Linked DNA regions of Danio rerio. The protein of the gene in region 1 interacts with the protein of each later gene in a pairwise test. Links are inferred from orthologs where the notes say so. Each region holds a gene or a part of one and is shown on either strand. Other genes may lie near its edges.

Region 1 (16,089 bases):
TAACCCCTTTAAGCGATATATATTTTCGATTGTCTCCAGAACAAACCATCATTATACAATAACTTGCCTAATTACTCTAACCTGCCTAATTAACCTAGTTGAGCCTTTAAATGTCACTTAAAGCTGTATAGAAGTGTCTTGAAAAATATCTAGTCAAATGTTATGTACTGTCATCATGGCAAAGATAAAATAAATCAGTTGTTAGAAATGTGTTTTTAAAACTATTATGTTTATAAATGTGTTGAAGAAATCTGCTCTCTGTTAAACAGAAATTGGGGGTAAAATACATGGGGGCTAATAATTCAGGAGGGCTAATAATTCTGACTTCAATTGTGAATAAAGGTTATACAGTGTGTTGTTAAAAGCAAAGCCCCTCTATTAAAAAAAGTCTCAGGCAGTGCCGTAATGCACTACTTTCCATAAAAAATAAGTACATAACTCCTTTTTTGAGGAGTAACTCAACATTGTAATGCATTACTTTCAAAAATGACCTTCCCCAACACTGAATATTTAAATAAATATAGATTTGTATATTGAATCTAAAATTTGTGTATGTAAATGTGGGTGTTACATATTGCAAGTGGACTTAAATCACAATAATGTTCACATATACATATTTATAGATTAAATACATGATTGTGTACATTGTACATTTACATTAACTGTATGTTGTATTTTTATATAGCTATTTATATAATAATTATTATAATAATAATTATATGTTTTTATTTACTATTTAAAAATGCATTTTAATAATATATTTTACACTACAGGAAAGCACGGTGGCGCATGGGGTAGCACAATTGCCTCACAGCAAGAAGGTCGCTGGTTCGAGCCCTGGCTGAGTCAGTTGGCATTTCTGTGTGGAGTTTGCATGTTCTTACTGTGTTCACGTGGGCTTCCTCCAGGTGTTCCGGTTTCCCCCACAAGTCCAAAGACGTGGTAAAGGTGAATTGGGTAAGCTAAATTGTCCGTAGTGTATGTGTGTGATGTGTATGGATGTTTCCCAGAGATGGTTTGCAGCTGGAAGGGCATCCGCTGTGTAAAACATTTGCTGGATAAGTTGGCGGTTCATTCCACTGTGGCGACCCCTGATTAATAAAGGTACTAAGCTGAAAAGAAAATGAATGAATGCATATAATACAATACAAATATGTATATGGGCTTGTTTCTATGCCTAAATAATGTAATATTTGCTACAAAAACAAAAAGTATCATCCTCCTCCTTCTTAAGTTGGAAAGAAAGAAATGTTTCAAAATCCAAAAGGTTTTTTTTTTAATGATTCACCTTGATCTTTCCTCAGGCATTTCATCTCTCATCTCTCCATAGTGTTGATGCTCGATTTAACCTCAGTATTGTTGGACTTGAGCGCCCCCTGGTGCTTAAAAACTAAAAATATGAATATCTATCTCTAATAATAATTCTCTATGCTGCGTAATGATTCAGAAAAGATTCAAAAGCCAGTCAATGTTATGGTAAAATTACATTCACATTCTATTCGCTTATATAAAAAAAACTGCAGTGTATAATGTTTAGAAGTGTGCACACATAAGGTGGATTGATAATCAAAGCAGTTTTTCCTATTTGTAAAATTTGTAATGCAATAAAATAAGACAAATTATAAAAGAAAACAACACTGACAACTTCTCAGATGTTAATCATCAAATATATTCACATACAAAATATTTACAAATATCACAGTGGTTAAAAAGCAAATTAAAATGCATAGTGATTACTTACAGTCTATTTTACTATCAAATACTAGAACCAAAAGGCTTTTTGGCAAACAATTGGATAACAAGGTTAATAAATTAAATTACAACCAGAGGGTTAAACAAATAAACTCAATGTGAATAAAGGAAATGTTACCTCTTTGTATTCAGGAAAATAAGAGCTATTCTAAAATGACTGTGAATGTCTTTCAGCAGAAATGTAAACACTTTTTTTCACCGTACCGAAATCAGAACGTACAATCAAACATAAAATGTACATGATACAAACCAAATGACTGATCATCTGAAGACATAAAGGCACATACAATCAGTTCTGTTCCAAGTATGAATATTACAAAAAACTAAAAGAAAACAAACACAAAATGTAAATATTGTAAAAGTCACAGGCAGCATTTAGGCCATGCTCACAAGAAAAGTCCAAGTAAAACTTTATGTCTGAGTCTTTCCAACTCCAGAACTGGCTAAGGCCATTATCTTATCCTCAGATCCTGGAAAATAAATACATATTTGATTATTAAAAACATCATATTTAGCAAGCATACCATGTTTTCCAGAAAATAAGTCACAGTGATGTAGTATAGATAAGCTACAGGTAGACCCTAAATAAAACCAAATGTTGGCAAACATTGAAAATATATTTATTTTAGCTCTTCTTGCTAACCTGCCAAAGCTATTTTACATTAAAAGTATAAAACAAACAAAAATGACTGTGACGTTCACTAAAAACAACATTTCTCATTGTTACGACTTCTTGATGTTAATCTAGGGAAAGAAGTAAGAGACATTTATAGTGTGACAATTCTGTGTAATACGGGAGAAGAAAACCCTGCATCAACCAAAACACTGCCAAAAAGGGAATCATTTATTATATAAAAAAACAGATAAACAGGAGGTCTAATAATTCAGGGGAGCTAATAATTCTGACTTCAACTGTAAAAATTGACCATAATTTTCTCACCCTCATAAAAATACAAACTTTTGAGTTTCTTTCTTCAGCTGAACACAAATGAAGATGTTATGAAGAATGTTGAAAACCCCTAGCCATTGACTTCCATAGTATTTATGGAAGTCAATGACTAGCTGTTTTCAATATTGTTAAAAATATCTACTCTTGTGTTAAACAGAAAAAAATAAACATTCAAACCGGTTTGAAATAATTGGAGGATGAATTAAAACTTATAAATGTTCACTTTAGGCTGAATTTGATCACTTTAATGTTCTACTGAAGAAAAAAAAAGTGACATCTGATGACCTGAGGTGAGTAAATGAACTGTGTTGTTTTATAAAAATTGACTCATAATTTTCTCACCCACAAAAAAATACAAACTTTTATAAGTTTCTTTCTTCAGTTGAACACAAATGAAGATATCATGAAGAATGTTGAAAACCTGTAACCATTGACTTCCATAGTATACCTTGTTCCTACTATGGAAGTCGATGACTAGCAGTTTCCAATATTGTTAAAAATATCTTCTCTTGTGTTAAACAGAAAAAATTCAAACAGGTTTAAAACTAATGGGGGGATGAGTAAACACTTTATTTTCATTTTAGGATGAACTGTATGGCTTTATGTTCTGTTGAAGGAAAATGTCACATCGGATGACCTGAGGTGAGTAAATGAACTGTGTTATCTAGTTTGATCAGTTTTCTCACCATCAAAATGATACAAACTTATGAATTTCTTTCTTCAATTGAACACAAATAGAGATATTTAGAAGAATGTTGAAAACCTGTAGCCATTGACTTCCATAGTAGGAACAAAAAAATATTATAGAAGTCGAAGACTAGCAGTTTCCAATATTGTAAAAAATATCTTCTCTTGTGTTGAACAGAAAAGAATAAACATTCAAACAGGTTTGAAACAAATAGGGGATGAGTTAAAACTTTATTTTGATTTATGGGTGAACTAATCACTTCAATATTCTACTGAAGAAGAAAAGAAAGTGACATCAGATGACCAGTGGTGAGTAAATGAACTGCATTATATAACTTGCTTTGGATTTCAGATCCAAAAACTTGACTTATATTCCAGAAAACATGATAGGTTGCCTCAATAGTACACGTGATTGATTGCCATCTTACCCAGACTCGCAGTGACCTTCTCAAAATGGCTCAAAGTGGCACTAGCGTTGGCAGCGAGGAACGCCTCATCCTCTGTTGTCAGCTGCACATTCAAACAAGCATAGATATCATTTCACACACGAGTCTTGAAACAGACGCAGTATCAGTTAAGTGTCAGTAATAACCCTCTCACCTTCTCGCCAAGTTTTCTCAGAGCTGTGAGGATCTCTACTTTCTGCTGAGTGAACACATCTCTAGAGAGCTTTCCAACCATCACATCGCGGTCCATCTGAATTCATCAAACAGCACATGAGCATAAGCACGCAGGGGGTCGTATATTTGAAAAATGTCAGTATTAAACAATGTTGGTCACCTCCGCCAGTCTCGTCCTCAGTTGCCCTGGCTGCTTTTTAGCAAACAGCCGAATAACTTCAGGAGTCTTGAACGCCTGACTGATGGCAGCTTGGATCGCCTAAGAAAAATTTACTTCGACATTAAACAATCACAGGTTGTTCTGTGTGAAATAGAGTTAGATTTTTTGACCCTAGGGTTTACCCATTTGTCAGCAAGACGTTGTTAAGCATGTAACTAAAGTTTAGTATGATCACTTTTCTGTTATACATTTGAATAATGAACAAAACAAGTATGTTAAACTAGGGCTGAGCCTATAAAGCATATTTTATCGAATCACGATAAAATGTACGTCAATAACAATGATAAGCTCTGCACTTTTTTACTCTATAATGATCTAAGAGCCAATCACTGCAGAAATGTGCAACAATGGGAATCGAAAAGTGTGTTGATATTAGAGATGTACTGAATTTTTTGGCCACTGAAAATTTATTGGCCGAAAATATATTATGCCATTTAAGGGACCCAGTCATTTTTGTGGCTTCAATCATTTTTAATTATTCGGTTTATTAACAACTTATATCGAAATATACATCGTCATCATTCAATATGTAAAATAATTATCGAGATTGCATTTTTGCCATATGGCCCAGCCCTCTGTTAAACTAATGAACGTTACACTAAATGATGATGAAACCTTATTTCATACATATTTTAACATTTTTATATAAGAAAGCTGAACCATTAGACTAGACACTTCCTATGTGTATTGAATTAATTGTACATTTAACAATGTGGACGCCTCATCTTTAACCCAAACACTTTGATTTATAATGTATAATAATAATTGATAATTCTATAACATGTAAATTAATATTATGTTAAACAGAATGTTCACCCAGAAATGGAAATTCTGTCATTATTTGCTTCACCTCCACTCATTTCAAGCTTGTTTGAGCTTCTTTCTACTTTAAAAAAACACATACTCACATAAAATTTGTATTTTTTTTAAATTATAGAAAAACTGGTGGCCATTGACATCCATATTCTTATTAATATATACAGTATTTTACAGTATTTAAAAAAGATATATTATTTTTCTTTTGTTTATACTACGGATCTCAATGGTTAGAGTTTTCTAAAAAGGTAAAGTTGGTTTTATATTTACTTATTCAGACATTCCCCTTAATAATATAGTTTCAGAAAATAATTATTTGCAAATTCTAAATTGGGAAATGACATCAACAGCAAATGACTTATTAAAGTACAACATGATTTACAGTCAGTTAAATAGTGCTAATGTAGTTTTAAAGTTAAAGTTACATGTGATTTTTCTCACTGAATATTCAAAGGAATGCGGTAAACAATATAGATAGCATTAAAATGAATGAATGTGTGAAAATAAAACCAACTTTACCTCAATAAGGTTTTCAACATTCTTCAAAATATTTTCTTTTGTGTAAACTCTTTAATGTCTAGAACCACTTGAGGGTAAGCAAACTTTTATTGTTTTGGTGAACTATCTCTTTAATACAATTCAATGTACTTTTTCTTACCAGCTGCATTCCTCCTAATTCATCAACTAGTGTCATATTCCCAGACATCAGCTTCTTGAGTGAGTCATTGAACTCGCTCAGCTGTTCTAGTGTCTCTTTTTTGGTTTCTTCATATTCCTCCTCTTCAAGATCCTCTCTGCAATGAAAAATGATCATAATCTTGTAATATTTTGTTATTGAAAGAGCTGGTGAGATGTGTTTACCTGCACTCCTCTAAATCCTGGAGCTGCTGCATTAACCGGTCCAGCTGTTCCTCCATGTTTTGTCTCAGTTTGCTTGTTTCTGATTTCCCTCTAGAAGCCATTCTTTAAAAAAAAAATTAAAATAATCCAAAATTATATTTTCAGCAATCTCTAAGGTTATTCATACAGAACATGGTCACCTTATAGTGTTGCTACTGTATCTGTGAATGTCACACCTGTCATGTCTGATATGATCAGAAATAGTGTCTACTGTTGGTCATGTGAAGTTAAATATTGTTATTGGTTTACTATCAGTGATTAAAACCCCATTCTGTAGACAGTGAGTGCTTTATTCTCTCTGACTGCGCAGTTAGCTTAGCTTGCACTCACATATAAACAAACCAATGCACGAACTTAAGAATCCTAAACGAAAAGGTTTTAGCTTAATAAAATAGTATCTCTCACCTGTATCTTATTTAATTAATAAAACTCCCAATGTTAAAGATAAAATTACAATTGCTATGTTCCTAAGTCCAGTTTGCTAAGGTGTGGCTTGCTATTGATCTTCAATAGAAAGCCTATGGTCGGTCTGCGTAAACTCTGCGCAGAGTTGACGATTACGAACACAACGAAAGCGTAGGACTTGCGTATGATGTGCGCACGCGCATTGATCATTTGTCCAACACTTGCAGCTGTCCTGAGAAGGGTAATGTTTGTATACCGTACAGTCTATGTTGTTTCATAGACAGTAAAAATGTGTTGTGTATATATAGTGCTGACAACCACACATTTATCAGGTTTTCTGTTTCTTTACTAACGTTACATTTCGCGGCATTTGTTATCATAAATTTGGGGAAGTTTTTTCACTCTGCTCAATGGAAAGCACGAGACTGATGTATTGATTTGGTAGTAAGTAAACACGTTTAGTCCTGCTTATATAACACATTATTGCGCACAATTGTGCATTTATTTTTAATATCATTCTTTAGCCCAGTTGATTAAATAGGTTAATTGATCGTAAACTAATTACTCACTACATAGAATTTACTGTGTAGGAATGTCCTTCCTGTTCCCTCCTTCCTTGTTCCCTGTTTTCTATAGTATAGTCATTAACTATAGTAAAATACCTCCTCTTACTTTCTTTTGAAACAGGAAGAACTTTAGAGAGTTAGCTCAGATTTTTCTTTATGGAAAGATTTGGTGATTTCGTAGCATTATGAATTTCCTCAGGAACAAACTTAATTTTTTTATTTATTTTTATAAATGACAAGTTTTTGTGTGTGTGTGTGTGTGTGTGTGTGTGTGTGTGTGTGTGTGTGTGTGTGTGTGTGTGTGTGTGTGTGTGTGTGTGTGTGGTGTATATAATTATAGTCAGTGTTAGGGAAAGTTACTTTTGAAAGTAATGTCTTGCATTACTCACCAAATTGTAATTAATTGTGTTACTTTTTATGGTAAGTAATGCCATACATTACTTTGGCGTTACTTTTTTTTAATAGCATCTTTTTCAGAATTTGCAGGTTTTTTCTTTCTTTTTTCTTTTTTATTAGAGGAGCTCTGCATTTAACAGCGCACTATAACCTTCATTTACCTTTAAAAAAAATAATAGTTTAGCATAATGTTATCTTCTGAGAACTTCCAATATATGTGCCGTATATACAGATTATTGAAAGTATAAAGCAAATATTTTCTCATTGAGTGCATGATAATTAAACTAAAAGTAACTCAATTATAACTTTTTTTATGTAGAGCATCTTTTAAGTAATAACTTGTTATTTGAAAAAGTAATATTATTATGCAAATCACATTATTTGTTACCCCAACACTGATTATATTAATATTATTAGAATGTCTGAATCACATTAAACATCACATAAAAGCAATTTCATATGTCAAGAAAGTGTCCGCTTTGATATTTCAAATAACTTTTGTAAAAATTAGTAGATTTTGAAGAAATAATGTTTTATGGGCATTTAGTGAAACAGATATATTTATACTGAAATAAAATTGCAAACGTATTCTGACCCGTATTTATCCAAATATGACTAAAGAGCATGTGACCGTTTAACATTTTATTATTAATTATTTATTATAAAATCTTTGACTTTTTAACCTTTTTATTTCTTTTTATAAGAGGAAATGGAAATTTCCTAATGTAAAGAAAAATCGAAACAGCGAATGCCCTTCCAGCTGCAACCCAGTACTGGGAAACATCCATACACTCTCATTTACACACATACAATATGGCCAGTTTAGTTTATTCAGTTCACCTATAGCGCAAGACATGCGGTAAGCTAAATTGTCTGTAGTGTATGTGTGTGAATGAGTGTGCATAAGTGTTTACAAGTGATGGGTCGCAGCTAGAAGGGCATCCGCTGTGTAAAACATATGCTGGATAAGTTGGTGGTTCATTCCACTGTGACGACCCAGGTTAATGAAGGGAATAAGCCGAAAAGAAAATGAATGAATGAAGATTTCTACAGTGGTATATATTAATAAATAATTTATTTGATTAATCTGTGATTTATTCTTCGAAACAGTAATAATAAAAAACTATTTATTAATAATAATATAGAATAATATACATAGAATAATAAAAATATTTATATATATATATAATTAAAAGCTTTTTTGCTGACCTAGTTATGTGAAGGACAGTCAAATTGTAAAATAACAATTACTTTTCATCATTTTGAAATCTATGCTACAAATTCCTGTCTTCAAAAATAAAATGCCTAGTTGCGCTTTAATTGTCTTGATTTATTTTATCTTCTATTCCGACAGCATCTTTCTCATGATCGATGGCATCACAAGAGAAAATCAAGCTGGTTCTGCTGGCATGTGGCTCCTTCAACCCCATCACAAATATGCATCTGCGAATGTTCGAACTGGCTCGCGATCACCTTGAGGACACTGGTAAATCTCTGGACACACGCTTGCTTTTGTTATCAATTAAAACCTGCATATTACACATGCATAACTTCAGATTTCTTGCTGTCTCAGGAAGATACAAAGTGGTGAAAGGCATAATCTCTCCAGTTGGAGATGGCTATAAAAAGAAAGGCCTGATTGAAGCCTGTCATCGCTTGGAGATGGCTAGACTGGCCACGGAGAGCTCTGAATGGATCACGGTGGATGACTGGGAGAGTCAACAGCCTGAGTGGGTGGAGACGGCCAAAGTTGTTCGGTGAGAATCTCTTCAGATCATGTGCTTTCAGATCAGAACATTTCACTTTTGTTGAAGGGAAAGATAAATGTCACACCCTTCGAGTTTTGCATCTGTTGTTGTGCTTTGAGTCTTTGCATGAGTTCAGTGTCCCATCTGATAGTGTGTTAACTTGTGTGGATGGACGTCATCTTTGATATTCTACTGCGTCAAAATGATTGTTTTGATGTTGATATTAAAATCTGACACTGCAGGCAAAAACACTGTCTTCATGCACCTGTTTTGCCCTTTTTGGCTTTTTTATTAAGTTTTATTTCTCTATTTTAAGTGTTTAATGGAAAGAAAAGATCTGAAACATCTAAGTGATTCTTTTATTGCACTTATTTATTATTATTATTATTATTTATTACACATATTCTGACTGTATATTTATAATGTAATGTCCAACTTTACAGTCGAGAATTAAATCAGCTAAGTTTTATTCATGTTCATATTTATTTATTCATTTAAATCCATTTATTTCTTTACAGTGGTATATATTCATAAATAGTTTGCTTGATTAATCTGTGGTTTATTCTGCAAAAATAAGTGACACTTTTTAAAAAATCTGTTTGTTTGAGGTATTTTCTGAATTGTAGAGTGATATAGATTACCTAAATACCATTGGCATGTAAATTCTTTTGACTGTAATATGTCAAATAAATTAAACAAGTCTGAACCTGACTTCATCCAGTATTATTTCTTTATGCTAAAATGAATGGAAATTAGTGCATATTTAATGAATATCTCATTTGCATATCTAAATACAACATTTCAAAAACCTAGATTTTAGTCAATCAATTCTGGAAGCAGGGTGGTAAATATGTTACGTAAGTTTTCACCCTATTGACCTGCAGTTTTCTCTAAGTTATAAACTTTACGTTCTATACATATTCACAATTTAAAGTTTTTTTTTTTTTACAAAAAAGAAATTCATGAATAGTTTAATTTATTTACAAATTAATTTGGTAAAAAAAATCTTGTTTGCAGAATGTTTTGTATAATGAAGTGATGTAGATGCTCAAAATCCCATTGTAAAATTATTTACTCTAATATAGCAAAATTAAACAAGAACTTTGCACCTGACTGCACATAACCCACCTAACCTAACCTGCCTAGTTAACCTAATTAACCTAGTTGAGCCTTTAAATGTTACTTTAAGCTATATAGAAGTGTCTTGAAAAATTTCTAGTAAAATATTTTTTACTCTCATCATGGCAAAGATAAAATAAATCAGTTATTAGAAATTAAAACTATTATGTTTAGAAATGTGTTGAAAAAACTTCTCTCTATTAAAGAGAAGTTGGGAAACATAAACAGATGGGCTAATAATTCTGACTTCAATTGTATACGTAAGTTAATTATTTTCATTTTCACCTGCAGTGTCTTGCCTTAAATCTGATAATTGTATGTCTTTTTTGTTAGGCATCATCATGCAGTTCTTTCCAGCGAGAATAGCAGCAACGGTGATAATGTGGATACTGGGAAGTATAGGAAGAGGAGAAAGATGGAGAAAAAGAGCCCTTCTTGTATGAACCCAAAAGCAGGTATAGTAAATTATCCTTCATAGTACAAAAGACCAATAGACTTTAAAATATGTTTACTTTCGAAATGTCGCTTTGTTAGAAGACCTGACGACAGCCAATAAAATGAATGGCTGATGTGCCCTAAGGACAGGAGAGAAACAGGGTGCAGCGAGATTTTTATGCGTGTTTACAGTATTGCACCTCTAAGCACTGTCTGACAGCATTCCTCTGGACTTGGAACAAAAGAGGTCTAGTAACTGAGAATCGAAACAACACATGAAGTGAAATAGGTCAAATGTTTTTTGGGACTTGGTTTTTTGTTCTGCAGTGAGCACCAGTCTTCACTGCAATAATTGGCCCTAAGTAAAAAGAAATTTACATTTGAGTCATTATTATTAGAATTTATAATATATTGCATATTAAATATAGGATGATTTACAATGTTACTTTTGTGCATATACATTAGATCAGTCAGTACTGAAACCATATCTGGAGCTAAACAAAATAACTTACTATAACACTCCAAAAATTAGTAGCCAAACATTATCTGTTATGGAAATAAATTAAATAAAAAATGAAAAAGGAGGAAGAGAATCTATTTGTGAACCTTTTAAAGGGTGATTATACACATACCCTAAGAAAACATTAAGCATGTGCTCAATCAAATTAAACAAAATATAATAAAAAGGCGTTTTAAAACTCTATGGTTACCTGGAACTGTCCTGGCCATGTAAAACTCTGAATAAGAGACAAACATGTGCAATTATATTTAAAGATGATTTCTTCTTTTCTAAGAAAAGGTTAGACAGCCATATCTATATGGTAATACCTGACGTAAGTTCTTGGGTCTCTTTCCCAAACTTAAATTAAGGCTCTGCACAAACTCTGTCAAACAGAGATCTTATCCATATCCCAGACTATATCTTAAGATGAAAAAGATGCTTACGCAATGTTTCAAAAACATTGAAGATCTGTAAGATTGAATTTTCCACCATACAACTATTAAAAAATGTTCTCTCCAGAAGGAAACAAGATGCATTAAGGGATGGAAGGTCAATGTAAATTGTTTTCCAGGAAACATGTAATTATTATATTTTGTTTCTTCTGAAGTAGAGTACTAAATAGGGGAAAAAAAGATATATTCAACAAAACTTGGACATATTCCTAAAGAAAAGAAGAACAAATGATAAATTGATTTCTAGTTGATCATTTTGTATCAGAAGTGGCTTATATAAAAGGCAAAGGCCTCTAGATTCTGCTTATTTAACCAAAATAAAATATGATCATGTCTTGATTTTGAATTATTTACTTAGAACAGTAAGGTTTGACTTTGCTTAGACAAAAGTCTTGTCACTTAACAGAAATAATGTACAGTATAGAATATGAAGTCATGGTCCAGTGAAAAAAAGAATTCATATTGTGTATGTCTCCCATACGCTTGGAGGACTGCATCCATACATCTCTGCAATGACTCAAATAACTTACTAATAAAGTCATCTCGAATGGCAAAGAAAGCGTTCTTGCAGGACTCCTAGAGTTCATCAAGATTCTTTGGATTCATCTTCAATGCCTCCTCTTTCATCTAACTCCAGAGATATTCAATAATGTTCACATCTGGGGACTGGACTGACCAATCCTGGAGCACCTTGACCTTCTTTGCTTTCAGGAACTTCGAAGTGATTTGAGGCTGAAGTATGAGAAGGAGCGCTATCCTGCTAAAGAATTTGCCCTCTCCTTTGGTTTGTAATTTAATGGGCAGCACAAATGTTTTGATACCTCAGGCTGTTGATGTTGCCATACACTATGCTGATCTTTTGCATGCCCCATACTAAATGTAACCCTAAACCATGGTTTTGCTTCTCCAAACTTGACTGATTTCTGTGAGAATCCTGGGTCCATGCGGCTCCAATAGATCTTCTGCAATATTTGTGATGATTGGGATGCAGTTCAACAGATGATTCATCAGTAAAACATAACTTCTACCACTTTTTCTATAATAATAACAACTAGAAGTCAAGTTATTATTTGTTGCTCTTACAATTGGGAATGACGTCAAGGCTTTTGTTAGGTAGTGTACAGTCACTGCTGATATGCTTCAAATATACAAAAGATGCTGGAAAATTGAGGCAGTTTAAGTTTTCAAAACAAACAAGTGGATCATGAACAATCATCAAAAAGCAAAACAAAACTGTTGCAAGGCAAGGCCAGTTTATTAATATAGCACATTTCATACATAATGGTAATTCAAAGTGCTTTACATAAACAGGAATAAAAGAGACAAGTATAAAAAGCAAATAATAAAAGTGATTAAAACAGATTAAAGTGTGTTAAAATAGGTTCAGATCATCCAGGTAACCACACGCAGCATTAAGAACCAAACATTTGCAGTAGGTATTTTTATCAATTACAACTATCTTCTATTTTGTGGACTGTTTGTAAACATATTTTATGTATAATATCTTATTCTAGAAATCCTATTCTAGATTTCAAATCTTATTAATAAAAAATACAATATAATATATTGTATGACCTCTCTTATTTTGTAAATAATGATTCCTATTTAAACGGGTTTTCCAAGGGGTTCTTAAACTCTCGCATAACATTAAATAAATAAAATTGAATATAAACATGCATTGGTATAATTTATACTAATTAATAGAATGTTCATACAAACAGCATCTATTTGAAATTAGAACTCGTTCCATTTAATTCAATTCATCTTTATTTTTATAGCGCTTTTACAATGTAGATTGTCAAAGCAGCTTAACATAGAAGTTCTAGTAAATTGAAACTGCTTCAGTCCAGTTTTCAGAGTTGAAGTTCAGTTCAGTGTAGTTTAATTTTCACTGCTGAAAGTCCACTGAAAACCAAGTAAGCCAGTGGCGAAAGTGGCGAGAAACAAACTTCACCAAGTGACAAAAGTATAGAAAAAAAAACGTTTGCAACATAAATGTCTTCATTGTTAAGTTCAGTTTAATATATATATCTTTGCTTAATAAATGTATTATTATTTTCGTTTTATCTCAGTGACCCCAAATGTTTGAACAGTAGTGCAACTTATTTTAGCCAGATAAGCAGATGCTTACATGAAGCAACTTGCAAACGAGAACAATAAAACTCCTCAAAGCAACAAGAACAGTATTTTACATTTATAGCCTAACCATACTGTAATTAAATATACTATAGTAGCCTCTCAGCATCCTAGAAAGGACACATATTTCAATTAAATCATAATTTTCTCACAATCCTTGTCAAAGGCGAGTCAAAAGTAGTAGTATTGTCCTAAATATCTATCACAGACCATTCTCATCTGAATCTGCTGTGCGGTGCTGATGTGCTGGAGTCGTTTGGTGTCCCGAACCTCTGGAAGCCTGAAGACATTGAGGAGATTGTGGGCCGCTACGGCGTGACCTGCATCACCAGATGTGGCAGCGATGCAGAAAAGTTCATCAACCAGTCGGACGTCCTGTACAAACACCGAAAGAACATCAGTGTGGTTCGAGAATGGGTGACCAATGAGATCTCAGCCACACACATACGTCGTGCCCTGCGCAGGGGTCAAAGTGTGCGCTACCTGCTGCCTGACTCAGTGGTTCGCTACATTCAGGATCACAGTCTGTACAGTGCTGAGAGCGAACAGAAGAACGCAGGCGTCATTCTCGCTCCTCTGCAGAGATACACCAACACTGAGTAAAGCTGCTTCTGGAACTTTGACAGAAGAACGTTGCACAGAAGATAGTCCATTTTGCTTCCTTGAACTGTTCTGATTGTAATGAATGAATAATACATGATAAGTGCTGTGAAATTGTTTTTGCATTTTAATGTGTTAAGTTCTTTTTTAAATAAAGAGATTGATACATTCATAAATATAGTTTCAGCATAGTTTACACTCAAATAGATTTATTAAGACTCCTTATTTAAAATGAGCTGAATCAACAGTATTGTGTTTTTTTGGGGGACAGCTGAATTTTTTTTATGTCCAATCAACACTGAAAAAAATGATTCATTGGATTTAATCAATTTTTTTAAGGCAAGTGGTTGCAAACTATATATAATGGCTGAATTTATACAAACAAATGAAGTTGAACATTACTTCATTTTATTTGGTTAAATGTATTTTCTTCATTCATTTTCCTTTGAATTAGTCCCTTATTTATCAGGGGTCGCCACAGCAGAATGAACTGCCATATTCTGGCATATCCTCCCGAGACCCAAAGAAAATTTGTATCTTTTTTTTTCTGTGATTTCCTACATCCTTTGGGATAAAAAAAATCTACAATTGAGAGTTTTTATTTTAATTTTGTATTTATTTTTAATTTTACAGCATGTCCACTGTAGTACACCACAGGACCATTTTAGTTCGAAACTACCGCCAAACTCAGAAAACAAAACTGTACAGGATATGGCTGTAAAGGGATATTAATCCAATATTAATGTAACAAAACAAAAGCCTTTTTTTTTTCATTTTTATTTTAAAAAATCCTGAAACAGTTTATTCTGAAAGAGAGCCGAACTGAAAAAAAAGAAGAAATGTAAATCCAAAACAAATTTAACATAAAAGTGATTTAAAGCTGATTGTCATTCTCTGATTGTCTCCAATTCTCTAATTGTCTGATTGTCAGACTCTAAATCAGAGTCTCCCTCAACTATATTTGTTATAAACAATTCTCTTTGCTTCAGTTTTGCCTCCTACAAAATGCAGTCATTAATTACAATAAGATGGTCCTGGTGTCCATATAGTGGACATAGAAAAAATAGATGATATTGTGAAATACAAACAAAATACAAAGTTAACAGTTTTGAAAGCTAAATGTATTGTTCCTGACACTTTAATAAACATGTGTGTGTGTGTGTGTGTGTGTGTGTGTGTGTTTGTGTTTGTTTGTTTGTTTGTTTGTTTGTTTGTTTGTTTGTTTGTTTGTTTGTTTGTGTGTGTTAAATGTTCCTAAATGTTACATACCTCTCTCCTTCCCATAAAATGTGCTTTTTTTGTATGTCGGCCATTTTGGATGCAGTGTAAGTAGTGATTCGCAGCATGCCAGCCAATCAAATGACATATCACGAGAAAGCCCGGGATGTCCTCTGAACAGCACAACTGGACTTGACAGAGTAGCTCAAAAAATAAATCATGAAAACGCAATTTCCACTACAGAGGACACATGTCAATGGGCGGGGTCTCAGGAGGATATGTTTTATGCAGCGGATGCCCTTCCAGCTGCAACCCAGTACTGGGAAACACCCATGCACACTCAGATTCTCAGACATACTCATACACTATATGGCCAATTTAGTTTATTCAATTCACCCATAGCGCATGGCTTTGGCCTGTTGGAGGAAACGGAGCACCAAGAGGAAACCCACGTGAACACGGGGAGAACATGCTAACTCCACACAGAAACGCCAACTGGTTCAGCTGGTGCTCGAACTAGCAACCTTCTTGTTGTGAGGTGACAGGGCTAACCACTGAGCCACTGTGC
Region 2 (16,016 bases), on another chromosome or scaffold:
CCCTCCAGAACCAAGTTTGGGCACCCTTTACTTTCGTCAAAGCCTAAGGCAGACAGTAAACGATGAGAAATTTTAGTGATTTTGTATCTTGCAAAATAATATAATATGGTTAATTCCAGGTGTTTCTCAACCACGCTCCTGGAGGACCACCAACACTGCATGTTTTAGATGTCTCCTTTGTCACACCAATTACAGTTAGTTCGGTCTCTGCTAATGAGCTGATGATCAAATTCAGGTGTGTTTGGTTAAAGACAAATGGAAAATGTGCAGAGCTGGTGGTCCTCCGGTTAAAGCAGTGTATCCCAACCCTGTTCCTGAAGGCACACCAGCATTACACATTTTTAACCTCTCCCTGATCAAACACACCTGAATCAACTCATCAGATCATTAGAAGAGATCCAAAACTTCAAATGAATGGGTCAGATAAGGGAGACATCCCAAATATGTACTGTTGTGCTTTCAGGAACAGGGCTGCTCTACATCACTCGTCCTCGTCTGCTGCTCCAGAAATGGTGATGGTACGTTCTTCTGTGTCCTTTTGAATCGTGTCTTCATCTGTCTTAACTGTTCTGCAACAAAACAGAGATGGGAATTAGCTGGAAGAGCAACATTGATTGATTTAATGGGCTTTTAAAATGGTCATACACACAAAGACATCACCTATACACTAACTGCAGGTTATATTCATGTATATTCCAGCTGCAACCCAATTACTGGGAAACACCCATACACACTCATTCACTACAGCCAATTTAGTTTATTCAATTCACCTATACCGCATGTGTTTGGACTGTGGGGGAAACCGGAGCACTCAGAAGAAAGCCAGATGAACACAGGGAGAACATGCAAACTTTACACAGAAAGACCAACTGGCCCAGCCGGGACTCGAACCAGCGACCTTCTTGCTGTGAGGCTAACAACTAAGCCACCAGGCGACCTGGTAGAGCAGGTTACTTCTACCTAATGAGGACGGTCTTCCTCTCTGTCATCTCCACAGCCTGCTCATGAGTGAACTCCTCCACAGACTCGTGATGGTTGTGGTTGAGCGTTGAGTTACTGGAGATCATCTTCTCTGAGGCGGCCGAACTCACTGCTGCTGCTGCTGCTGCTGCTGAACTGTACGCTGAAACACTGCTGACCAGTCCTGAACTCACACTGCCACCCATGAGTGATAGACCACCCACCATGCTGGACAAGCGACTGTCTTCTCCCTCTATCAGCTTCCTGCAAAAACACAAGGAAAACAATATGGGAAGTGGACAATATATAAGAAATATACAGTTGAAGTCAGATTTATTAGCCCCCCTGAATTTTTAGACCGCTTGTTTATTTTTTTTCCCCAGTTTCTGTTTAACGGAGAGCAAATTTTTTTCAACACATTCCTAAACATAATAGTTTTAATAAGTCATCCCTAATAACTGATTTATTTTATCTTTGCCATGATGACTGTAAATAATATTTTAATAGATATTTTTCAAGACACTTCTATACAGCTTAAAGTGACATTTAAAGGCTTAACTGGGTTAATTAGGTTACTTTGGCAGGTTAGGTTAATTAGGCAAGTTATTGTATAACGATGGTTTGTTCTGTAGACTATCTAGAAAAAATATAGCTTAAAAAGGCTAATAATAATTTTGTCCCTAAAATTGTGTTTAAAAAATTAAAAACTGCTTTTATTCTAGCCGAAATAAAACAAATAAGAGTTTCTCCAGAAGAAAAAAAATTATCAGACATACTGTGAAAAATTCCCTGCTCTGTTAAACATCATTTAAAAAATATTTAAAAAAGAAAAAGTAAATTTAAAGGGGGCTGATAATTCTAACTTCAACTGTATATTAGTTGAAGTCACAATTATTCGCCCTCCCATGTAATTTTCTTTTCTTTTTCAAATATTTTCTAAATGATGTGTAACAGAGCAGGGAATTTTTCACAGTATTTCCTATAACATTTTTTCTTCTGGAGAAAATCTTATTTGTTTTATTTCCGATTGAATAAAAGCAGTTGTTATATATTTTTAAAAGCATTTAAAGGTCAAAATTATTAGCCCCGTTAAGCTATATTTTTTTTCCATTGTCTACAGAACAAACCACTGTTAAACAATGATTTATCAAATTACCCTAACTTGCCTAATTAACCAAGCCTATATATAAATATAGGCAGCTATTGATGTGATTCAATTAGTAATTGAATTTGAGGCAACAATAACATTTGTTTACATTTGAAAACTAAATTAAATTACTGTATGGGTGAAAATATGGAAAATAAACATAATATGTAATATACGCTGCGGCCAGGATTCTGACCAGAAGCAGAAAATCAGAGCACATCACACCTGTCCTCAGGTCTCTACACTGGCTCCCAGTTACATTCAGAATAGATTTTAAAGTATTATTACTTGTCTATAAATCACTAAATGGCCTAGGACCTCAATACATTACAGATAAGCTCACTGAATACAAACCTAACAGATCACTCAGATCTTTAGGATCATATAAACTAGAAGTTCCAAGAGTTCAGTCTAAGCAGGGTGAATCCGCCTTCAGCCACTACGCCCCTCGCTGCTGGAATCAGCTTCCAGAAATGATCAGATGTGCTCCAACATTAGGCATATTCAAATCGAGACTGAAAACACATCTGTTTAGCTGTGCCTTTACTGTATGAGCACTGTGCTACATCCGACAGATTGCACTATTATGTTTTTCGTTTTCTTTTTCATTCTTTTATAACCTATTTTAACTCATTTTAATTTGTTTTCATCTGTTTTTAATAATTTTATTGTCTGCATTTTATGTTCCTAAACTTGTCTTTTTTTATTCCTGTTTATGTAAAGCACTTTGAATTGCCACTGTGTATGAAATGTGCTATATAAATCAACTTGCCTTGCCTTGCCAATGTATTATAAAATAATAATAAAATGTATAATATTTTGACTTTGCTTGCCTCAACCCATTTAAATTCTGCCTTTTAAGTAATTTCATTAAATGACCATTACACCCCTATTGATTCGGGATGTTTACAGTCTTGTCAATTAAACAAAAATGAATATCTTGCTCAAGATAATATGATACAATGGCAGTACCTGTATGTGGTGATTTCAATCTCCAGTGACATCTTAACATTGAGCAGATCCTGATATTCTCTCAGCAGCAGCGCGATCTTCCCCTTGATAGACCTCAGTTCCTCTTTAAGAGTCTCTATACGCGTCTACACATGATCAAAACAAACATGTTTTTAGTATGCTTGAATATAATCACTTTAACTGTTAAAAGCTATTGGTTACTTGTTAATTAGTTACGGTTATTAGGAACTAATAAAGTTATGGTAGCTAACAACCTCTGATTTGGATTGTAATGCAACAATGTACACCTTTATTAAAGCTGCTTTGACAATACTTATTATGAAAAGCGCTATACTAATAAACTTGAGTTGAATTTAATAATAGTATTTAGTATCGGGGCGTGTCCTTACATGTAGCTCCTCCTCCTCTTTCCTGTAATTCTCCTGCGCCTCCTTGATCATCAGCAGCAGTGCCTCATTCCTGTTTTTAAGGGCATCCAGTTCCCTCTGTTTGTTCTGTATCTGTAAACACGTGTGCAGAATGTTAATAATTCTGCATCATTTGGTGTTAATAGTGACCCACGCTTTCCCTCACCTCCTTCTTGTATCCCATGATTTCCTCTCTGGCGCTTCTCGCTGTTTCCATGTGCCGAGACGATACATTGTTTAGATCTTGAAACTTTCCTTTGTACCAGGCGTCCATATCCTAGACACACGCCAGCAAGGAAACACAAAAAGATCCAGGTTCAGTGCTATGAAAAGTGGCATTGTTTACATTTTATTTCCAAATGTATTATTATTAAGAGCATGAGCCCCTTCAGATGAATCATCTCATCATACACAAATGACAGATTGAGCATTTCATAGTACAGTTGAAGTCAGATTTATTAGCCCCCCTGAATTTTTAGACCGCTTGTTTATTTTTTTCTCCCAATTTCTGTTTAACGGAGAGCAAATTTTTCCAACACATTTCTAAACATAATAGTTTTAATAACTCATCTATAATAACTGATTTATTTTATCTTTGCCATGATGACTGTAAATAATATTTTAATAGATATTTTTCAAGACACTTCTACACAGCTTAAAGTGACATTTAAAGGCTTAACTGGGTTAATTAGGTTACTTTGGCAGGTTAGGGTAATTAGGCAAGTTATTGTATAACGATGGTTTGTTCTGTAGATTATCGAGAAAAAATATAGCTTAAAGGGGCTAAGAATTTTGTCCCCAAAGTTGTGCTTAAAAAATTAAAAACTGCTTTTATTCAAGCCGAAATAAAACAAATAAAACTTTCTCCAGAAGAAAAAAATATTATCAGACATACTGTGAAAATTTCCTTGCTCTGTTAAACATCATTTGGAAAATATTTAAAAATGAAGAAAAATATTTGAGGGGGGTTAATAATTCTGACTTCAACTGTATTTATTTTTACCTGGAGGTTTTGCGCAGCGATACTGTCATACTGAGCCTGGATCTGTTTGAGGGCAGACGCCAGATCGGGCAAAGAGAAGGCCACATCTACTTTAGCCACAGATCCATAAATTTGAGCCATCAACTCCTCGATTTCCTGACAGAAAAAAAAAAAAAAACAATAATAAAAATTCAAGCTGAGATTGTTTTCTGTTGTGGGAAAAACAGCTCCTCAAACAAAGGTTGAAAAAGGAGGGGCTTGATTTCGTCTATTGTGAATAAATCGTATGGTTGTTGTTTGCTATTGGTCGATTTTATTTGATTGTCAGATTGATCCCGCCCTCACACTAAACATGTAATCAGGGAAGATATATGACTGAAGAGGAACAGAAAGTTATTTTGATTATGAATAGGTGTACATATATCCTCCATCACCACAGTTAGACAGGTGCAGTTGGAGGATTTAGGAAGTTTAGCAAAATGCAGTTTAGAAAATGCGGCCAGCCATACACTGATGTGGATGCTGTTATATTTTGGTGTATTTAAACTGGTTCGGAGCAGTCTGGTGTGAAACAGAAACAAAATGGCTGAAAATGCTACAATGTATAATGTTTACCCTTGGTTTGAACCAAAGGTACTACAGGTGTGAAAGCACCCTCAGGGGAAGGGGAAGGGGTTTTGACTATAAAGTAGCACACATGCATACCATTTGAGGTTTAGACAGGTGATGCTGGAGGATGTGGAGGGCTTCAAATTGGCTTATTTTACAGTGAACACTGAGCCATAATGTTTAATTGTTAAACAAGCATTTTCATTGGTTGCAGAATCTGACCAATCAACTTGTGCTGAGTAGCAAACAGCGTGGCTGTGAGTAAATTGCGTGTTGTGCACCTTTTTGTGAATCCTCTGCAAGAACTCGAGCTCCACTTCCAGATTTTCCAGTCGTTTTTCCAAGGCAATTCGGGCAGAGGTGGCTGCATCCACATCCTAGTGGACAGAGGGAGTTTAGACACCATTGTTATGTAAAAACAGCTGTGTTTTTGTTATTACATTGGACTTTACCGGTCTGAAGGCTTCAATCTCGAGCTCTGCCTTCTTCCTGGCCTCCAACGCCTCCTCGTATTTCACCTTCAGCATTTCCAGCTGACCTGCCATGGCATCCTTTGCTGCTACTGCCAGGTCCTGTAATACATTATACATACATTAAATATGGCCACATTTAATAGGCCAATCAGTGTCGGTCAATTAGTGACTTTACCGGGGTTCTGCTTTTATTATTATTGCATTTCAGCCATTTGCCAAAACACAGTTATTTCATTTCAAAGTCAATATTTTTTGGATTTAATCATAATAAAATCATGAAAAATAAAGATTAAATAGACATTTAATTTAACATAATTACATTTAATTAGATGCACATAATTAGATGCACATAACTTTTGTGAAAATAAAATTATGGGGGAAAACTATGAGCGAGTAGGGCAAATTGGTGAATAGTGTGTGCATTAGTGGCTCTGTGGTTCATCATGTCTCACCCGTTGGATTTTCATCTGGTCTGCAATCTTCTTCATCTCCCTCAGTTGTTCCTCATAAAGCAGACGCAGGCCGGACGGCTTCACATGGTGGCCTTTAATGGCATTAATCTCAGTCTCCAGCAGCTTGTTACTCTGCTCCAGAGAACGTACCTGGACCAACAAAACACCGGTCTTCAAAATAGATACCACAAAGAGAGAGCCAAAACAGTGAAAGGCATGACGTTTTTTATACCTTCTCGATGTAAACAGCCAGCCGGTCATTGAGGGCTATCATCTCCTTCCTCTCGCTGGTGCGTGTGCTGAGGAAAGCCTGATTCTCAGCGGCCGCAGCGTCCAGATCCACTGCACCTCCAGCACCACCAAAACCCATCCCGAGACACAGCGTCCCCATACTCACGCTGCTGTGGAGCGAATCAGACATGCAAAGAGATGTTATTACAGTCAATTGTAATATTTAAAAAATATGTTTCACGAAACAATATGAAATACAGACTGTAGTTAAAGAAATTAGACTAGTAGTAAGAACGCAGTAATAACTGAGTAAACATTGCTATTGATAATAATGAAGTAATATTATATTATATTAAATAATGTTTCATTATTGTCTCATTATTAAATTATATTATTTTTCTCAAAAAATACAGTAAAAAATATTAGATTAGCCTACATAATAATTTTATTTAACCATAGTAATGATTGTCTAGTATGGTGGCCTATATTAGGTAGCATTATTCATTATTCTTTACATTAAAATAATAGCACAATTTTGTATGTTAAGAAAAAATATATAATAAAAAGAGGACAAATCAAGAGAAACCAAAACTATATAAAATGTGTTGAAAGGTTTGCAGTATTTAGCATGTCATGTAGCTGTATTATCTTTTAACTAAAATATTATTGTAGCTGTAGCCTGCTCAGTCATGTAATGTATATCTCATAAAGTGACATTATTTTTACATACAGTTTCTTCAAATTAGACTACTAAAATTATATTATTATCCTTATTTATTATAAATTATTCTTTACATTAAAGGTGTTAGGCTACTAATAACACAGTAATAATATATTATTTTCCTTATTTATTCTGCATTATTCTTTACATTAAAGGTGTCAGGCTGCTAATAAAAGTATAGCCTATTATTTCCTAAAAATATATAGCCTACAGTTAAAATATTTAATTATTGATTTACATATTTTTAACTTAAATCTGTTATAGGCTACTGATTATAACACAGTAAAATTATAATATTTTTCTTAAAAACACAGTAAAATATTTAATTATATTTTAGGCTACATCATTATTTGATTGTCCGGTATGAGCACTTACAGTACAGAACATTAATTTTACATTACATTTGTTAGGCTACAAATAACACAGTGAAATACTATGGTAAAGTTTTTTCCTAAAATTAAAACTTAGTCAAATTTTTTATTATTTATTTAGGCTACATACGTATTTGATTGTTGAGTATGAGCACGTTTATTAGAGAACATTAAATATATTACATTAGATGTCTCTTTACCTGGTCATGCGTGATTTGCGTGTCCCGGACAGCGCTCTGCGGCCGGTGCTGCGGGAATAGCTGGCGGACCGGTGTCTAGTCGCCCCGCGAGTTGGAGAAGGGCTGGAGACCCGGACCTGGAGGGTGGACGAGGCGGCCAGGCCTCCCTCAAAGTGCCTGCGGTAAGAAGACATCCTCTCCGGGCTGTAGCTCATGTTGAAACCGGTGGTCCTGAAACAGAAGCGTGTGATTGTATCCTCACACTCATTCATGCGGTAGTTTTATACCTGCTGTCCCGCAGAGGAATCTCGAACCTCGGGCTGACTTGAACTTAACCCGCTGCTGAACAATCTGACGGGTCACCGCGAAGAGTTTTACCGCAGTAAAAATAGAGGAGCGAGTTTTCCTGATGCCTGAGATCTTTATTAATCACATTCTCTGCACTAAAAGTGTCGAAAACTTTTTGGAGATTGACAGTAGCCTGGTGTTGACTTCATCGAGGAGGTGCATGCTAATTATTAATCATAAATTAACGGTTTATGGTCACTGTAGCCTTGTATATTGGGTAAAAACAAATGATAATGTAATAAAAAAATGACAATGTAAAGTTTGTTTATGGCTGTCAAAGACAAAAAACATGAGAATCTATATTAATACAAAACAATATCATTATATTATAATATATTGCATTATATTATATTATATTATATTATATTATAATTAAATAATAATATTGTATATTATATTTAATTATATTATATTGTATTATATTATACTATATTTTATTATATTATATTATATTATATTATATTATATTATATTATATTATATTTAATTATAATTAAATTATAATATTGTATATTATATTTAATTATAATTATATTATATTATATTATATTGTATTATATTATACTATATTTAATTATATTATATTATATTATATTATAATATATTATATTATATCATATTATATTAAAATAATTTCGATTAGATAAATATAAAGTTGATGCCAGTAAAGTCCGCAAAAACTCTTCCGGAACTGATGCGTTTGTTTGTTTCCTCCCGGACCGTTTTAATCTTCACATTGAAGTTCCACGGAGTGTTTTTTCTGTCGCGCTCCTCATCTGATCTGAACGGAGCATCGATTATTTTAAACACAATTTAACAGCACATTAAGGTTTATTTTCTACCTCAAGATGGCAGGGAACTTCTGGCAGAGTTCACATTAGTAAGTATTTTCGTATTTACTACCTAAATCACGCACAATAAAGGATTTTTGGGGGTTTTGCTGCGGTTACGGGACCATAAGAGATATAAAAAAACATTTCAATTGTCATATTTGAATTATTAATGCGAACAAAGTACCACATTTTGGTCATAACCAAGACTCAAATACGGAGGTTAGATTATTTGACTTTTATAAATCTAATAGTTTAAATCGTTGACTTATTAGCTTTAGCTGTCTGGCTAGTGAAGAAACCACAGAGAAATTAATTTGTGAATCATTTGCATAAATATCGGTTATTTACTACGTGAATTCATTTTCACACATTAAATTTACATTTATAAACTCAATTAAAGTAATGTTTTAATGCTAATATCCAGATATGAAGTGACTGATACATTTGTTGTTTGACTTGTAGAGTGTATTTATTACACGTAAATATTAATATATGTGTGTTACACTTTAATGATTTGTGAATTGAAAGTGTCTTTGTTCTTTTCAGTCTGCAGTGGGTTCTGGACAAGCAGGATCTGATGAAGGAGAGACAGAAAGATCTCAAGTTCCTCACAGAAGAGGAGTACTGGAAACTGCAGATATTTTTTGCCAATGGTTTGATGAGAAATTGCTTATTTAGTTGTTTTGTTTTCTCTTTTCTGAATCTGAAACTGTATTTCTAGACTAAGTGCAAAGCAAGACCAAAATATTCAACAATATAGTATTTACTCATGTTATATGACAATGGCAGTTCATTTATATAGCATAATTAAAAGCAACCCATGTTGACGGATGTGCTTAACATTAACTAAAATCCACAAACAGCAAGAATAAGTCAAAAACAAGTAAATAAAAAGGCTAATTAAAAGCTTTTACGTGGTTAAACGCCAGTAAAATATGAACTAAATCTTATTCATGTGTTCAGTGCTTTGTCAAACAAGATAGTTTTTATACTTGGATTAAAAACGAAACAGATTTGCAGCTAATCTAATGGAAGACGGGGAAATCATTCCAAAGTGTAGCAGCAGCTGCAGAGATTTCAATCTAAATTTAGGAATCAATAAAAGTCTCTCATCTGATGAGCGATCAATTAATGATAGATGGGTTTAAGAGACAATGTGCAACAACTTTTATTAACATGAGTTTTTATTATGCATAGTAAGCATATTAACTATGAGTAAAGTGTCTACTTTCATGCTTTAAATAGCTTTTGTGAAAATATTGTTTCCTCATACTTTGGTGTAATAGATAAATATATATTTTTCATGTTTGCAAAGGTATTTATATCATTTAAATGTAGTAATAATTTAAAAATATGCAAACAATAGGTGATCTTGTTCAATTTTGTTGTATTTTAAATAAGTTTTGTTGACAATTGGTAAATCTTTTTTGTCATTTTAACATATTTAAATAACAATACTTTTGGGCTACACTGTTATCTGTTAATATATCATCAGATGATTGATCTTTCAAGATTTATTTGATGTTAGACATTTTAGGGGGAGTTATCTGTAAATGTATGAAAAATAATGGCACTTTATGTTTTGATGCTTAGAGCCTTAATTTTTTGACCATATGACCAAGTGTTAGGTTACCACATATACTGTGGAGCGTTAATTGAAATGTATATATTTTTTTCTGTTTTGTATTCATTTGTATTTGGTTTTGGGATTTAAATGCAAAGCTAACTTAAAGCCTAAAAGTTTAAACAGCTTAAACACTTTAAAATGTTTAATTCGTCCTCTTGTGACAGTGATTCAAGCCTTGGGCGAACACTTGAAACTCAGACAGCAGGTCATCGCCACGGCAACTGTCTACTTTAAGCGTTTCTATGCCAGGTGAGCAGTGCAGTGCCATCATTAAAAGCTTGTTTTCTTCTAAAGATTCCTCTTCTAGATTCATCTAGGCTCTTGTGTTTTTCATGTAATGTGGTGCTCTATTTTTGTTCTGTGGCTTTCATTTAAGTACTCTTTAGTTCATGAAATAAAAGGAAAAACTCTTGGCTGTTTTTTCAGGTACTCTCTGAAGAGCATTGACCCTGTGTTAATGGCCCCAACATGTGTGTTTCTGGCCTCTAAAGTAGAGGTAAATACTCTGTCTGTATATAATATAAAGTGCTTGGCATAAATGAGTAAAACATTTTTTGAAAATAAATATTTTTTTACCATGTCTCAGTCATCATAGGTAATAGATTTTGGCATATTTGAACAAAACAGATTTATTAAACTGATATATTTATTAAAATATTTTTTTTGTCACCAATCATCTTTAGAAATAGAAAGATAATGCATGTACAGTCATGCAAAACATTGCAAAAAAATGACAAACTGAAATTTCAACTATATGTTACATTTTTTTTGTTTTTCTTGATTTTTATTCTATTTTTTACAATTTTATTTAATATTTGTCTTATTATATACATTTGACCTAATTTTTAGACCGTCATCATACTTTTTTTTTAACTTTTTATTTTTTTATATTTTTAGCTCCAGAATTTGACTTCAGTACTGACTAAACTAATGTATATGCACAAATATAATATTGTAAATCATCCTATAGAAAATATTAACTTAAAAGAGAGATTTGTGAGGGGTGTACTGAGCACTGTAAACACAATATTTATTCAGATTTCTGCTGAAAGATGTTTGAAACTGCATTTTAACACTAAAATTCTGCTGTCAACAGGAATTTGGTGTCGTTTCAAACACTCGGCTTATTTCAGCAGCAACGTCTGTGTGTAAGTGGGTTATATTTTACAATCATAATTTTTTTTTATGTTAATAAAATATATGTATTTTATATTATATTATATGTTATATGTTATTATTATGTTATTATATGTTATATTATATGTATTATATTATATGTATATATATAGTTTAAATTGTACTTGTATATTTTATAATAAGTTATTTTTTTGTATATAAAGAGAGAAAAGTCCCATCTGAGATTTTCATCTAAAATTAGCATTTTTCCTCAGGCTTTTGTGTGTCACTTCAGTAATTTTACTCTTATGGCAAATAATAGGTTATTTGCATTGCCTTTAAAGTGGAGTAACTGATCATAAATATTGGAGGCTGAGAAAAACACAACTTTTAGAGGAAAATTTCAGACGTCACTGAAGTTTTTTCATCTGAACTCTTTATACAGTTGAAGTCAGAATTATTAGCCCCCCCCCCCCCCCCCCCCCCTGTTTAGTTTTTCCCCCATTTTCTGATTAACAATTTTTTTCAACACGTTTCTAATCATAAAAGTTTTAATAACTAATTTCTAAGACACTTCTGTACAGCTTTAAGTGACATTTAAAGGCTTAACTAGGTTTACTAGGCAGGTTAGAGTAATTAGGCAAGTTATTGTATGACGATGGTTTGTTCTGTTGACAATCGAAAAAATATAGCTTAAAGGGGCTAATAATTTAGTCCTTAAAATGGTGTTTAAAAAAATCAAAAACTGCTTTTATTCTCCCCAAAATAAAACAAATAAGACTTTCTCCAGAAGAGAAAATATTATCAAACATGCTGTAAAAATTTTCTTGCTCTGTTAAACATCGTTTGGGACATATTTAAAAAAATAATAATAATCAAAGGAGGGCTAATAATTCAGACTTCAACTGTATATACATATACAAACACTTTTTATATATACATTATATGAAGTTGCACAATATATTCAAATAAGAAAATCTATATTATATTGTAATTTATTTGATCTAATAGCCAAGGAATTGTTGCTATTACTAAATTTAATTTAGTTTAATTTGATATATAAAAACAACTAACAAAACACTATATAGACGTGTTTAAAAATGTAATCATGAAAAAACTAAAATGAAAACAAAATATAAGCATATCCCGATTATACTAAAAAAACAGTTTAATGTCTTCCTCAATAGTCACTTTTGTAATATATATGTATTTCTCAGACTTTTCTTTTTTTAATAGTGAAAACAAGGTTCTCTTATGCCTTCCCAAAGGAGTTTCCCTTCAGAATGAACCACGTGAGTCAAACGTCTTTGTTTCACTACATCAGAAAACATGATGAGACCGTCATGTGAGAGTCTTTCCCGAGAGCATGACTTCACTAGGAGATTTTGGAAATCTGACAGCATCACTATACATCCAGATAATAATTTCTTGTAACTTGTCTGATTCATATGATGGAAACACTAGTCGAGAGTTTGAGTGTGTGTGTGCTGATGATGCAGTGTTTCTGACACCCGTTCAGGAGTGAAATTCCTCACACTCGCAACACCTTCGTAGGAAAGTCTCATTATCCTGATAGATGACTTCTGGTTTTGGCCGTTCATGTCTCGGGCTGGTGATAAGTGCCATATGATTACTAGCAGTGTTGTTTATTCAGCACAGCACTAGTCAGGTGGTGTAAAGGAAACATTGCGGTCTCCATTTAGTAAAGGGGGGAAAATGCCAATTAGTGCGCATAACATGCTAACGCCATGATTTCACAGTGAACTTATGCCTTTATCTCGCTAGATCCTGGAGTGTGAATTCTACTTGCTGGAGCTCATGGTTGGTATTGATGGATTCTTGAGGTTGTCTTGAAGTTGTGTTTTCAGCGTTTGTTGATGGATGTTTGGTTTGGTTTTGTTTCAGGACTGCTGTCTGATCGTGTATCATCCGTACAGGCCGCTATTGCAGTATGTGCAGGACATGGGGCAGGAGGACATGCTGCTGCCGCTGGCTTGGTGAGGAGTGTGTGTGGATTCAGTAGAAACCTCTACTTCTTTTATATGCTGGTTAAAGGGATTGTTCGCCCAATCGTCTATCTCTTTGTTGTTTTTTTAATGCCCTATACTGTTCATTCCTTTTTGCATGAGAACTTCTTGATGCTCATGCATGCCTGTGTAATGGTAGTTAAATCACAATCACACTTAAGGAGGTAGTTCACCCAAAACAGAACATTCTGCCAATCTTCACTCGTTGCAAACCTGTTTGAATTTCTTTTTTTCCTTTGAACACAAAAGAAGATGTTTTGAAAAATGTTGGAATGTGGTAACCATTGACTTTTTTCCTACTATGGAAGTCAGTGGTCAACTGTTTCAAACATTCAAAAAGTATGTTGTTTTGTGTTCAGCAGCCTTTATAAACACAAAGGTTTATAAAGGTTTGAGGGTGTGTAAATATAAGAATAATGTTAATATATGAATAAAAATGCAAACATATCAAAGAATAATTCCATGTAACAAATGCCATGTATTGCAATTATTCTGTAGACATATGATAAGGTTTGGTGAAAAACAAACCGAAATTATTGTTAGACAAATTTTCTGATGTTGAACATTTTTTTGAAGCTCTTATTATTGAGGCGTTTCAGTCTGACTATACCTTTTTATCAACATCTACATTTTAAATAAGTGGCAAGAGGAGTGGAATGCATTGGAAATTAATAAATTACATGAAATACAACCTGAAATGTCAAACAGAATTTTAAGACTATTTGATCGAGTGATTTTTACTAGATGTTGTGTTGGACATACAAGATTAACTCACGCCTTTTCACTTAAAGATGAAGACCCCACTCAATGTTTGTTCTGCACAACTCCCCACACATTTCACTGGACTGTCCTGCTTTTAATAATTCCAGAAGACTTTTTTAATGAAATGAACTCTCTTAAGGACATTTTTAGCAAAGTGAAACCAGAATTCTTATCATGTATTATTAACACAAAAATATCTTACTTAACTTGTGTTTTTATTTGTTTGTTGTTTTAAATTGTTTATTTATTATTGAAATGTTCTTGCCATGAAAATAGCCTTGGTTGCTGTTGCTATGGTTTATTTCCGTAAATAAAAAATACATCACATTACATTACAGTCTGACTATATACTGCATATAGAATATGTATATCTGACTATATATAGAATGATTATTCAGCACACTGCAAAAATATGCTTTTTTATTTAGTTTTTTGTGTTGTTTTTAGTCAAAATATCTTAATATTCTTATATCAAGACATTAGACAAGTAAAAATATTGTTTTGTTTTCAGAAAAAAGTTGTCAAAATTAAGTGAGTTTTTTCTTAAAACAAGCAAAATAATCTGCCAATGGGGTACATAAAACAATCTTATTGCAAACCAAAAAAAATTTTTTTTACTCACCCCTGATTATTAGGCAGATTATTTTGCTAGCATTAAGGAAAAACTCACTCAATTTTGACTTTTTTCTGACAACATTTTAAACGCCTAGAACAGGGGTTTCCAAAGTTGGACCTGGAGGGCTGGTGTCCTGCTGACTTAAGCTCCAACTTGCTTCAACATTCTTGCCTGGAAGTTTCTAGTATACCTAGTAAGAGCTTGATTAGCTTGTTCAGGTGTGTTTGATTAGGGTTGGAGCTAAACTCTCCAGGACACCGGCCCTCCAGGGCAGTGTGGACACTCCTGGTCTTGAAGATGTTTCTTGATTTAAGAAGTTTTAGATATTTGGACTAGAAACAAGACAAACTCATTGCATTGCACACATTTTTTGCCATTTAGATCCACATTTTACTGCACTGTTGTTGATCACTGTTTTTTACAAGTCTCACATGTTAAAAAGCAAGATGGATAAATGTATACAGATGTCTGATTTGAATGGTTTTTCATGTGTTTATAGGAGAATAGTGAACGACACCTACAGAACAGACCTGTGTCTGCTTTACCCTCCATTTATGATTGCACTGGGTAAGAACAACATTTCTTAGCTCAGTTTGATGTAAGAGCTGATTAAAAATTAGCCAACGTCCCACAAAGTTTTATTTTAACTAATCTTCTGAAACTTTCATAGGCTAGTCAGGTAAATAATTCTCGTGAATTCTATTGCATTGAATAATTCTTCTGAATTCTATTGCATTGCTGTGGCGATATCACAAGCTAAGGCTCTTTAGTTTTGCTTTCTTACAGTCAGTATTCAGTAAATGTACTGTGAGTTAAAATGTCGCCAATGTTATCGGTTGAAACCTGAAGTTGCAATAACATCTTAAAATTTATAGAAAGGGTCTTAAAAATGTCTAAAGAGTTATTAAATTTAACTCTGATTCTTCTATCTACCCTGTATTATTATTATTATTATTATTATTATCATTAGTAGTAGTAGTAGTAGTATTAATGGTAGTATTGTTACTAATATTAGTTGTAATATTAGTATTATTATTAGTACTACTACTATTACTATTATTATTATTATTATTAATATTAATAGTAGTATTAGTAGTCTTAGTAGTAGTAGTTATCATTTAGCCTATAGTTTTATATCTGAATAACTGCATAACAATTGTTTTCTTCCTCCTCCAGCTTGCCT

What was found.
Region 2: the proteins of nmnat1 (region 1) and ccnc interact in binary tests that used the Homo sapiens proteins (3 or more experiments, as listed by UniProt). The two-hybrid records come from large-scale screens. The link is inferred for Danio rerio from reciprocal best matches to the Homo sapiens genes NMNAT1 and CCNC.

What each region holds. Positions count from the first base shown.
Region 1 is NC_133198.1:32,500,491-32,516,579, reverse strand, and holds nmnat1 (nicotinamide/nicotinic acid mononucleotide adenylyltransferase 1), read left to right. Parts: upstream 1-6,550; 5' UTR 6,551-6,590; intron 6,591-8,665; 5' UTR 8,666-8,682; coding exon 8,683-8,797; intron 8,798-8,884; coding exon 8,885-9,068; intron 9,069-10,511; coding exon 10,512-10,633; intron 10,634-13,911; coding exon 13,912-14,306; 3' UTR 14,307-14,475; downstream 14,476-16,089. Other genes in the region: protein LZIC, read right to left, coding at 2,164-2,222, 3,817-3,898, 3,989-4,084, 4,169-4,267, 5,703-5,838, 5,906-6,006; nmnat1-rbp7a protein, read left to right, coding at 8,683-8,797, 8,885-9,068, 10,512-10,633.
Region 2 is NC_133179.1:6,191,205-6,207,220, reverse strand, and holds the start of ccnc (cyclin-C), read left to right. Parts: upstream 1-8,610; 5' UTR 8,611-8,700; coding exon 8,701-8,732; intron 8,733-9,231; coding exon 9,232-9,338; intron 9,339-10,476; coding exon 10,477-10,561; intron 10,562-10,738; coding exon 10,739-10,808; intron 10,809-11,408; coding exon 11,409-11,460; intron 11,461-12,664; coding exon 12,665-12,720; intron 12,721-13,213; coding exon 13,214-13,249; intron 13,250-13,333; coding exon 13,334-13,425; intron 13,426-15,332; coding exon 15,333-15,400; intron 15,401-16,009; coding exon 16,010-16,016. Other genes in the region: ngs (notochord granular surface), read right to left, coding at 561-564, 961-1,224, 3,080-3,204, 3,469-3,579, 3,653-3,763, 4,490-4,624, 5,359-5,454, 5,530-5,649 and 3 more. UniProt on the Homo sapiens protein: Component of the Mediator complex, a coactivator involved in regulated gene transcription of nearly all RNA polymerase II-dependent genes.